Linked DNA regions of Kluyveromyces lactis. The protein of the gene in region 1 purifies or fractionates together with the protein of each later gene. This does not show direct contact. Links are inferred from orthologs where the notes say so. Each region holds a gene or a part of one and is shown on either strand. Other genes may lie near its edges.

The links.
Region 2: the proteins of MED1 (region 1) and SRB7 purify together in Saccharomyces cerevisiae (affinity purification with western blotting; 4 studies listed by BioGRID, with this or other methods). This does not show direct contact. The link is inferred for Kluyveromyces lactis from reciprocal best matches to the Saccharomyces cerevisiae genes MED1 and SRB7.
Region 3: the proteins of MED1 (region 1) and SSN3 purify together in Saccharomyces cerevisiae (affinity purification with mass spectrometry; 3 studies listed by BioGRID, with this or other methods). This does not show direct contact. The link is inferred for Kluyveromyces lactis from reciprocal best matches to the Saccharomyces cerevisiae genes MED1 and SSN3.

The regions. Positions count from the first base shown.
Region 1 is NC_006038.1:818,670-821,995, forward strand, and holds MED1 (Med1p), read right to left. Parts: upstream 1,782-3,326; coding exon 501-1,781; downstream 1-500. Other genes in the region: YSA1 (ADP-ribose diphosphatase), read left to right, coding at 1-63; SPE3 (spermidine synthase), read left to right, coding at 2,719-3,326. UniProt on the Saccharomyces cerevisiae protein: Component of the Mediator complex, a coactivator involved in the regulated transcription of nearly all RNA polymerase II-dependent genes.
Region 2 is NC_006039.1:1,290,813-1,293,105, reverse strand, and holds SRB7 (Srb7p), read right to left. Parts: upstream 1,090-2,293; coding exon 658-1,089; downstream 1-657. Other genes in the region: PMT7 (putative dolichyl-phosphate-mannose--protein mannosyltransferase), read left to right, coding at 1-393; VMA22 (Vma22p), read left to right, coding at 1,310-1,822; GIC2 (Gic2p), read right to left, coding at 2,142-2,293.
Region 3 is NC_006040.1:1,006,618-1,010,329, reverse strand, and holds SSN3 (cyclin-dependent serine/threonine protein kinase SSN3), read left to right. Parts: upstream 1-1,308; coding exon 1,309-3,090; downstream 3,091-3,712. Other genes in the region: isoleucine--tRNA ligase ISM1, read left to right, coding at 1-71; MRX11 (Mrx11p), read left to right, coding at 300-902; mRNA-binding ribosome biosynthesis protein NOP4, read right to left, coding at 3,194-3,712. UniProt on the Saccharomyces cerevisiae protein: Component of the SRB8-11 complex. The SRB8-11 complex is a regulatory module of the Mediator complex which is itself involved in regulation of basal and activated RNA polymerase II-dependent transcription.

The DNA.
Region 1 (3,326 bases):
TTAGATGCTAGGGTTCAAAATGTTGCCCAGGGTATCAAACTTGCTCAGGATTTGAAATTATGACTGGTACTGCAAATTCCTGGTCGATATTATATACTCAATAAATACTCTCAATAAGGCAATAAGGATACACTAAACCACCATAGTTTAGCAGATGCAGAGTAGGAGCAACAGCAATCAATACATGGCACTTGCTTCTTCGTCCGTGTAATTTAAAAACGAAAAAAAATAACGACACCAGCAGGATTTGAACCAGCGCGGGCAGAGCCCAACAGATTTCAAGTCTGTCGCCTTAACCACTCGGCCATAGTGCCTAAATTTCTTGAATCATTTATATGAATGTTGCTTAAAAACCTCTTTAAATCAACGCAAATCCACAAATTAATCTTGGGATGAATGAAGCGTATGTCGTCAGCGTTATTTCACCAAAATTTTACTTCCAAAAAATGCTATACTCAAATATTACTACATCATAAAACTGAAGTGAACGTTAATTCTTTTTATATAAGCTTAGATTTCAAGTAGTCTATAAAGGCTTTCCATGCTTGTTCATCATTATCGTTATATGAACAAGTCTGGGCTTTTCCTATATATATATATTCCTCGTTCAGAACAATAGGAATCTGTTTTTCTTTGTCGACGTCCATTTGATCATCATCTTCGGTGTCTGATATTACAGGCTGATCTAAGATCTCCTTCAAAGTGAATTCCGGTATACCAGAATCTCTCAACATCATGGAATCTGTCATACTTGGCCTCCTATTACTTAGCACGCTGGACTTTCTTCTTGGTTTTGGTTGTACACTTCCAGAGTTCGAGGTCGAGATGCTACTGGTAACGTTGTCATGAATAATTAATTTTAAAACTTCTTGGAGAACTATTTTATGCCAATTGTACCACTTCAAAAAATCTGGCAACAATGCTATATCTTCATTGGATATCCTAAACGAATCCATAAGTAACAGATCTGATGTGAGTTCATTCTGTAGTTTAACTGTATGTTTCAAATGCGATTGTTGTGGTAGTTCAAACTTTTTTGGAGTTTCATTCATCTGTATCTCGGTGGTAAGCCACGTTTCTGGGAACGCTACTAGTTCTTCAAATTTGAATACGAGATTAATTCCTTGCGTAGATGCATCAGATGATTCGTTAAGCCAGTCTTTTAGTTTAGAGTCATACACATATTCATAAAAAGATCTATCCGAATTAGGAGCTTTTTCCAAATCCACAGTCATAATCTTAGTTTGACCCTGGGCATCATATATTGATACTCCAAACGTGGAATTTTCATTCATCTTCACTGTAAATGGCAAATGCTGATCACTAATATAGTCTTGTAACATCTTAGGCAGATCAGTATAGTATTTAAATAAATCAAGACTCGTGTGGCCAGATTCGATGTCGATGTTGGAGAAAGAATCCAAGAAAACCAAAAAATTCAAGTTATGATGGAAAGCCTTCAAATCTTGGACGTCAGAAAGTGATGTCAATAGTATATTTTCACCCTTTTCGTTAAAGTAGTTGAATTTATCGAAGTTTGACGCTAAGACCAATTTAACATCTAAAATGGTCTCCATCTCATTCTCATAATCAATATCAATGACCACAATGTTAGATGCAATTGATAACCTTGACTTGGTACTATCCACTTGATCCACAAATGATTCTAATCCTAATGTTTGGCACAGCTTGATAACATTGGGTAGAGTCCGACTTCCTGGTTTATAATTCAAAAGCCTTTCAATCATTTCATCTAGCAATTCCACAAATGCATCAGACATTTTTGATGCTTTTTCCTTTCAATTCAAGACCCCTCAGATCACTACTATGTAACAATAGACTCGGTACGCGATGAATCCTTACTCACCCAATTGTCCTCATGTAATTATCATTGGTACTCATAGCATAGCGCACTTGGTTATTTAATCTTTCGATGTTTCATTAGGAACAATTATTACCCGGATATTCCATAATGTATTACATCGTGTTAAGTGAACGATACCTGGTTTCTAGAGAGAGACAATCAAGAAGTCATTGGTGGGTTGTATCCACCTTTCTACTATCGGTTGAGGAATGTTTGCACTGTGAAATTAAATGTTACAACTGGTGTTGAGAGACACACATTCTCTCAACATCTGGAATTACTTCGACCATTCTTGGCAATTTCTGCACATACACACAAATAACCGTTACTAAGAGAATGATGCAAGAGAGTGTGATTGCTCATGAGCCAGATCCCTCAACATATAGCACCATCCAGGCCGACTAACCGATCAGTTGGTTGAAAGTAGCTTATTCTATATACCATGTCATGTGAACTGTCAGGCGCATATACAAAGATATCATTCCGAAACAGTTAACACACCTCGATAACCTTAATCGATGTGACACATCAACCGATTAAATACACTAGAGCAGAAACAAGGCAGCAAGCAGGCTGCTTACCCTCTTATCAAAGGTCCGTCAAAAGGAAAAATTTTCCGTATTCTCACATTGTCAGGGCCCTGACTGGCTTATCGATTTAGCTTGAACTGAAAAATTTTGATGAGCAAAATGCATATGAAAGAAACAGCAAATGGGATTTAAATACAGAATCATAAATAAGAAAAGGTTATACTCCTACTTTCTGTTAGCACTCAATTGGTTCACTATCTGATCTACCATATTGTCTGGCTTTATTAAATCTTTAGTGGAGTCGAAAAGAAGCAAGTAGAAATCATGTCAGAATTAACACATCCTACGATTGTTGACGGATGGTTCAGAGAAATCTCTGATACCATGTGGCCAGGTCAAGCCATGACTTTGCGTGTGGAAAAGATCTTACACCATGAAAAATCTAAGTACCAAGACGTTTTGGTTTTCAAGTCTACTGATTATGGTAACGTTTTGGTTTTGGATAACGCTATTCAAGTCACCGAGCGTGATGAGTTCTCATACCAGGAGATGATTGCCCATTTGGCATTAAACTCTCACCCAAACCCAAAGAAGGTTTTGGTTATCGGTGGTGGCGATGGCGGTGTCTTGAGAGAAATTGTCAAGCATGATTCCGTCCAAGAAGCTTGGTTATGTGACATTGACGAAGCTGTTATCAGAGTTTCCAAGGAGTACTTACCAGAGATGGCGAAGTCTTATTCCCATCCTAAGGTCAAGACTCATATCGGTGATGGATTCCAATTCTTGAGAGACTACCAAAACACTTTTGACGTTATCATCACTGACTCATCTGACCCGGAAGGTCCAGCCGCCTCTTTGTTCCAACAATCTTACTTCGAATTGTTGAACGGTGCCTTGACTGAGAAAGGTGTCATTTCCACTCAAGCTGAAAG
Region 2 (2,293 bases), on another chromosome or scaffold:
TTTGAGTACGTTGTTGGTCAATTCAGATTGAACAAAAGGCAAAACATCGATAATACGAGCATGTCTCCACCTGATTGCCTGTCTTGGCCGATTCTTTTCGACAATAACAACCAAATCGGTAAAATCTTATGGATAACTTCTACGGTATCTGTGGGCGTGTACACTTTCATGGAAGCATATTCCTGGTTATCTTGGAATATTTTTGAAGATACTTTACTTAATACCACTGCAAACCAATTAATGAAAAGAGAAGTCACCTTGGAGGCATTTTTAGGTTGGATCCTGCACTTATACATTTTTACTTACAGCCTGCACAGAAATCTTTCCGTTAACCAGTATATGCCCTCTCTATTATTTGCGGTGATCATTCTTTCACAGTTCTCTGTGTTATAGAACCAAGAATATCACAGCGAGCGGTGGTGGCATGACGGGGCATGCGGATGCTATGTTTAGTGATGATGTTGCGTGTCATTATAAAAATAAACGATGTCAGACAATCTGTCTGACATCGTTTCGGAGAAGAAGAAAAGGAAAAGAAGCTAAATATCTACTATATACCACTTGATACATTAGACACTATGTAAAAGTATTCTTACTCGCAATTTGACGTTAACATGTGACCCAATTTCTACCGAAGATTTCAAAATGATTCCTTTCTTATACTAAGCGTGCTTCTGTCTTCGATTCATTAATGCCAATCGTAAAGTCTTGGGTAAGTGTTCTTACTTTTTCTTGCAAAGCGTCCTTCCTTTTTATCGCGTCTATCTTTTCCTTCTCCATTTTGATCAATTGTTTCTGTAGTGAATCTATCCTATGTAGTTGCTCTTGTGCAGATACGTCTACTCCGGGTAGAGAATCTATTAGAGCCATTATCTGCCTTGTTTTAAGTATGATGTCTGTTGTCAATTCATCTATGTTCTTTTCAAATTCCTTTTCCTCAACAATGTGGGCCTGAGGATCTGACATCTGCTCTTCTGAATCGTTACTTGGTTCAAAACCATGGTTCTTATCGACATAATTTACTGCACCGCAAAATTGTTCCATCATTTGGTCCAAACATATTTGTAACTGGGTTAATCTATCGGTCATTTTTGTACACTCTTCCTTGCCTCTACTGGAGCTGGTTTGTCGCAATATTGCTAACTTTCTTTCACCTTCGAATTCGTTTATATAAATCATTGACTATGATTAAGTTACAAATATTTCAGACAACTTCAAAAGTTTGGTTTAAAACGTTTATGACTGAATAATATACGTAATATGAGAAGAAACTGCCACGATTTGGATATTAATAGACGCTAGGAAACCAATGATGACGGAGGATGACATATATCAACTCATTGTTAAGAATCTTGCAACCTATGATTCTCTATTAGAGCAGTTGCAAGCTAGTTTTGAAGAAGGTTACCATCAGTTGAGCAGAGCGAATTATCACAATAAGAACACACTTCGAGGATCATATGGTAAGGATTACTGGGACGAAACTTATACAGGAAACAGGTATATCTCCATTAATGACAAGCACTCTGTTTCGGAGACTGAAGAGCCGTTGCATATTGCCAATGACGAAGAAATCATTCCTGAGAAAGATGAAGCAACCAATGAGAATTTAAAGAAGAGAAAACAAAGAGAAAAACTATTGGCAAAGGTGAAGAAGGATCCTATATATATGTTCGGAGGTGCCCTTTCAATCCCAAGCTCTTTGAAACAATGTCAATTATCTTTCAAAGCTTCGATGCCGGTACTTTATCAACTACTAGAACTTCGACGTACTCTTAATGGTCTACTTGACGCACTAGGGACTCTGTCAAATTCAGCTTAAGAACTTTATAATTGCTATGGGAATGATCTTATATCAGAGTTAATACAAAAGAAAACTATCTGTACAATTGCTAATTTGGAAAGAACAGTTTACTGGAAACGAAAATAACGTTGGATGGCGCCAATTGAAAGACGTACAATGAGTGTATATCTGTACACATGCAGATTGGGGATTAATTATTAATAAATGAACGACGAAGGGTTAATCTGTATCAAAAAGAGAGCTGATTTCAGTAAATGCAATAACGAGTGAAAGATGGGTATATTTTCTTGAGAACAATTGTGAAAGTGAATGGAATGGCCCTGGCCACGGGTGAAGATCATAGAATAGATTTATAGTAAATGTTTGAATTTCTAGCGTAGGAAAACTCACTAGAGCTTTCATCCAATGACGATCCAGCATCACTAGGCTGTAGATAGCATAATAAAACATCATCAACTGACCTTCTGGTTCTTGGAGAGTCTAAGTATT
Region 3 (3,712 bases), on another chromosome or scaffold:
GCTGGAAGCATAACTCCCCAAGTGAGGACACTCTGTGCAATCGTTGCGAGGAAGTTATTAATGCATTATGATCACATGACCTTCACATAAATCACTTGTAAATAGTATTCTTTTTAACAACAGGCATGAACATAGACATGCGAAGGTTTATCAATACGATAAAGATATCACACCATAAATTAATTCAACGACTGTTAGACATCATAGTGGCGTAATCACTGCTATATAATATTTTGTTTGATCTCCGAAGGGCTCGCTGTACTTGTTGTAGACATACACATACTCCAACACACAGAAATATGAAATTACTGCAATCATTGCCAGGGCTTGGCACTAGCTGTTCCAAAATGGTAATCGGTAATAGGTACTCGATAATCCAAAAGAGAGGCCCGGCGAAATTATTTATCAATGGGATACGGTATAACTCGAGCAAGGTCGAACCATCGAAAATTGATGATAGGCTGCATCGGCTGATCAAAAAGTCCAAATTCCTGACAAGATTGAACGGTAATCCTCGTTACAAACATTATTTCGATAAACTTTCTGAAGCCGGCGCCGTTTCTACAATGACATCATTCTTAATCCTTCACGAAATTACTGCTATCGTTCCTTTGTTTGCTCTATGGGGACTGCTTTATAACTTAGATCTGTCTGACCAATATGAGATGCCAGTATATTTCAAGGATTTGTTGAACAAATGTGGTGAAAGTATAGGTAAATTAATTGGAGATTACGATAATGGCTGGGATAGAGATAGATTAGTTGTATCTGGGGCTCTTGCATACGCCATTGTTAAAGTATTGTATCCTGCTCGGATACTTTTCAGTTTATGGGCAGCTCCATATGTTGGAACTTTCGTAATAATGCCTTTTACCAAACTTAGGGCATTAATTCGTCGTTGAGCTAAAACCTGATCTTCCATTGGCACTGATGTAAATAGACTAATTTATATATAGACTCGCATTCATCTTATTATTATAAAACTTCATGGATCATATTTATGAAGACAACTACGATTAGTTTACAGTTAGTGTCTCAAATCCTTGATAATAGTAATAAATTCAGCTACGACTAACTATTTATTCATGATACAACGACATATCAGGCCAGAGTTGGCTACTTTATTATCTAATGACTCTTTCTTCACAGAACAACGAATGGTTCTTATATTGACGTTTTTATAAGAATTTAAAGCGAAGTGATCCATTAGAAAAATGATTAAACGTTGAACGCTTTGAGAATATAAAGACAAGCTCTCGGCGGATACAGCATTCTATCACTTTTTATAGACTGCGATTTACTGCTGTAATGTACGGCAACCAACAAAACAACTCCAATCCATATCAAATGTCGTATTATCGAATGAATAACGGCCAAGGCCAGGGTACTAATCGCTGGCCTCAACAACTGTCACATCAGGAAATGTTAGCGGGCCATTCTCAACAGATCCTTAATAACAATAAACCAGCTGGAAACCAATCGAAGCCTCCGATTGTGATGGCTAGTAATAATGTTTTCTCTATTGGTCCATACCGTCAACGAAAGGATAGTTCAAGAATCTCGGTGTTACAAAAGTACGAGATTATCGGGTATATTGCAGCTGGTACGTATGGTAAAGTTTACAAAGCTAAAGCGAGGGATTATCAGAATGGTATGAATAGAGACAACGTAATAATACTAGATTCTCCGGATTCTGTGAGTGCTGATTCAAATTTGGATATAAATTCAATCAACAGATCCACTAGACAACAGGAGGCTAACGACAACCTTACAACCATGGACTTTAGGAAGCCTTCCCACAAGCGATTCACACCTCCAAATAATAGCAACTCAACACAGATACGGTCTAATAGTGGATCAGAAACAAATGTAAGGATAAATTCGTCGAGTATAACAAACAACTCCAGAAAGCCTTCTCAAATTCAGTTCTATGCTATTAAGAAGTTCAAAACGGAAAGAGAAGGTGTCGAGCATTACACAGGTATCTCACAAAGTGCATGCAGAGAGATGTCACTTTGTAGAGAATTGGATAATAACCATTTAACGAAATTAGTTGAAATATTCCTAGAGAAGAAGAGCATCTACATGGTCTCAGAGTTTGCTGAACATGATCTTTTACAAATTATCCATTTTCATTCGCATCCTGAAAAGAGACTAATACCGCCAAGGATGCTCAAATCAATAATGTGGCAAATTCTTGATGGTGTTTCTTATTTGCATCAGAACTGGATTCTTCATAGAGACTTAAAGCCCGCTAACATTATGGTTACCGTTGATGGCTGCGTCAAGATCGGTGATCTTGGTCTAGCGAGAAAATTCAATAACATGGTACAGACTTTATACACTGGTGATAAGGTTATTGTAACAATTTGGTATCGTGCCCCAGAACTTATACTTGGAGCTCGACATTATACTCCTGCAATAGATCTTTGGGCTGTTGGTTGTATTTTTGCAGAACTCATCGGTTTAAGGCCAATCTTTAAAGGTGAAGAGGCCAAGATGGAGTCCAAGAAGAGTGTTCTGTTTCAAGCTAATCAGTTTCAAAAAATATTGGAAGTCATGGGTTCGCCAGATCATAAAATATGGCCGAATATCGACAGTTATCCAGAATATCTTCAGTTGGCAAAAATGCCAAAATATCGTGACAATTTAACAGCATGGTATCAGACCGCTGGCGGTAAGGACAAGACTGCTTTAGACATTCTTTACCGTCTATTGCAGTATGATCCTATCAAGAGAATCGATGCAATCGACGCTTTAGACCATGTCTATTTCACCAACGGCGACCCTCCTGTCTGTGAAAATGTGTTCGAGGGTCTCAACTACAAATACCCACCAAGGCGCATTCACACAAACGATAACGACATTACGAATGTCGGCAATGATAATAATCAAGCTAATCACTCTCAAAAACAACCAATGCATGGTAACAATAATAATAAGAATGGGAACATGAACGGATTAGGTGTAAACAAACGTATCTTGGCAGCAGCAGCGGCAGCTGCCGCTGCAGCTGCTGTGTCTGGTAATGGAAACAACCCCACAAGCAATACTGCAACCGGAGGATCAGCACGGAAAAAGAGAAAATGATTCTATAATTGAAATGCATGTTATTTAATATACAGATTTTATATCCTAGAAACTTCATTGCTTCGGAATGCTTTGAATTTTTGCCTTTGACTATTGTTTACATTCAAGAACGGCCCTTGTTCTTTCTTCTACGTTTAGATCCAATAATCTGTTTAATATTATTACTTAGACCAGATTTTGTTTCCTCTTCTACTGGTTGAGCCACTTTTTCTTCTTCTTTATTCTCTTCATCATCTCTTTTTCTCTTGAAAGATATCAATCTAGATTCTTTGACCTTTTCTCTTCTTCTCTTCACAACGTTAGCGTTTTCGATAGCAAATTCGACCACCAGTCTTCTTTTTTTGAAACTGTCTGCATCAAGCTGTTTCTTTTCATCATCCGTAAGTCCTTCTAAGATTTCGTCCCTACTGACTTCATGAGCATTTAACCATCTTAGACACATTAGCGCAGCTTTATGATCCCTGAATTCAACAAAACCATACCCTCTACTTCTACCACCGCTAGATCCTTTAATTTCCATGATAATTTTAGATTGTCTAACAATACCTTGTTTCTTGTCCTTCTTCTTTTGAGCTTCGATTTCTTCTTCAGACATGAACTTGTACTTTTCCTTAGTAGATCT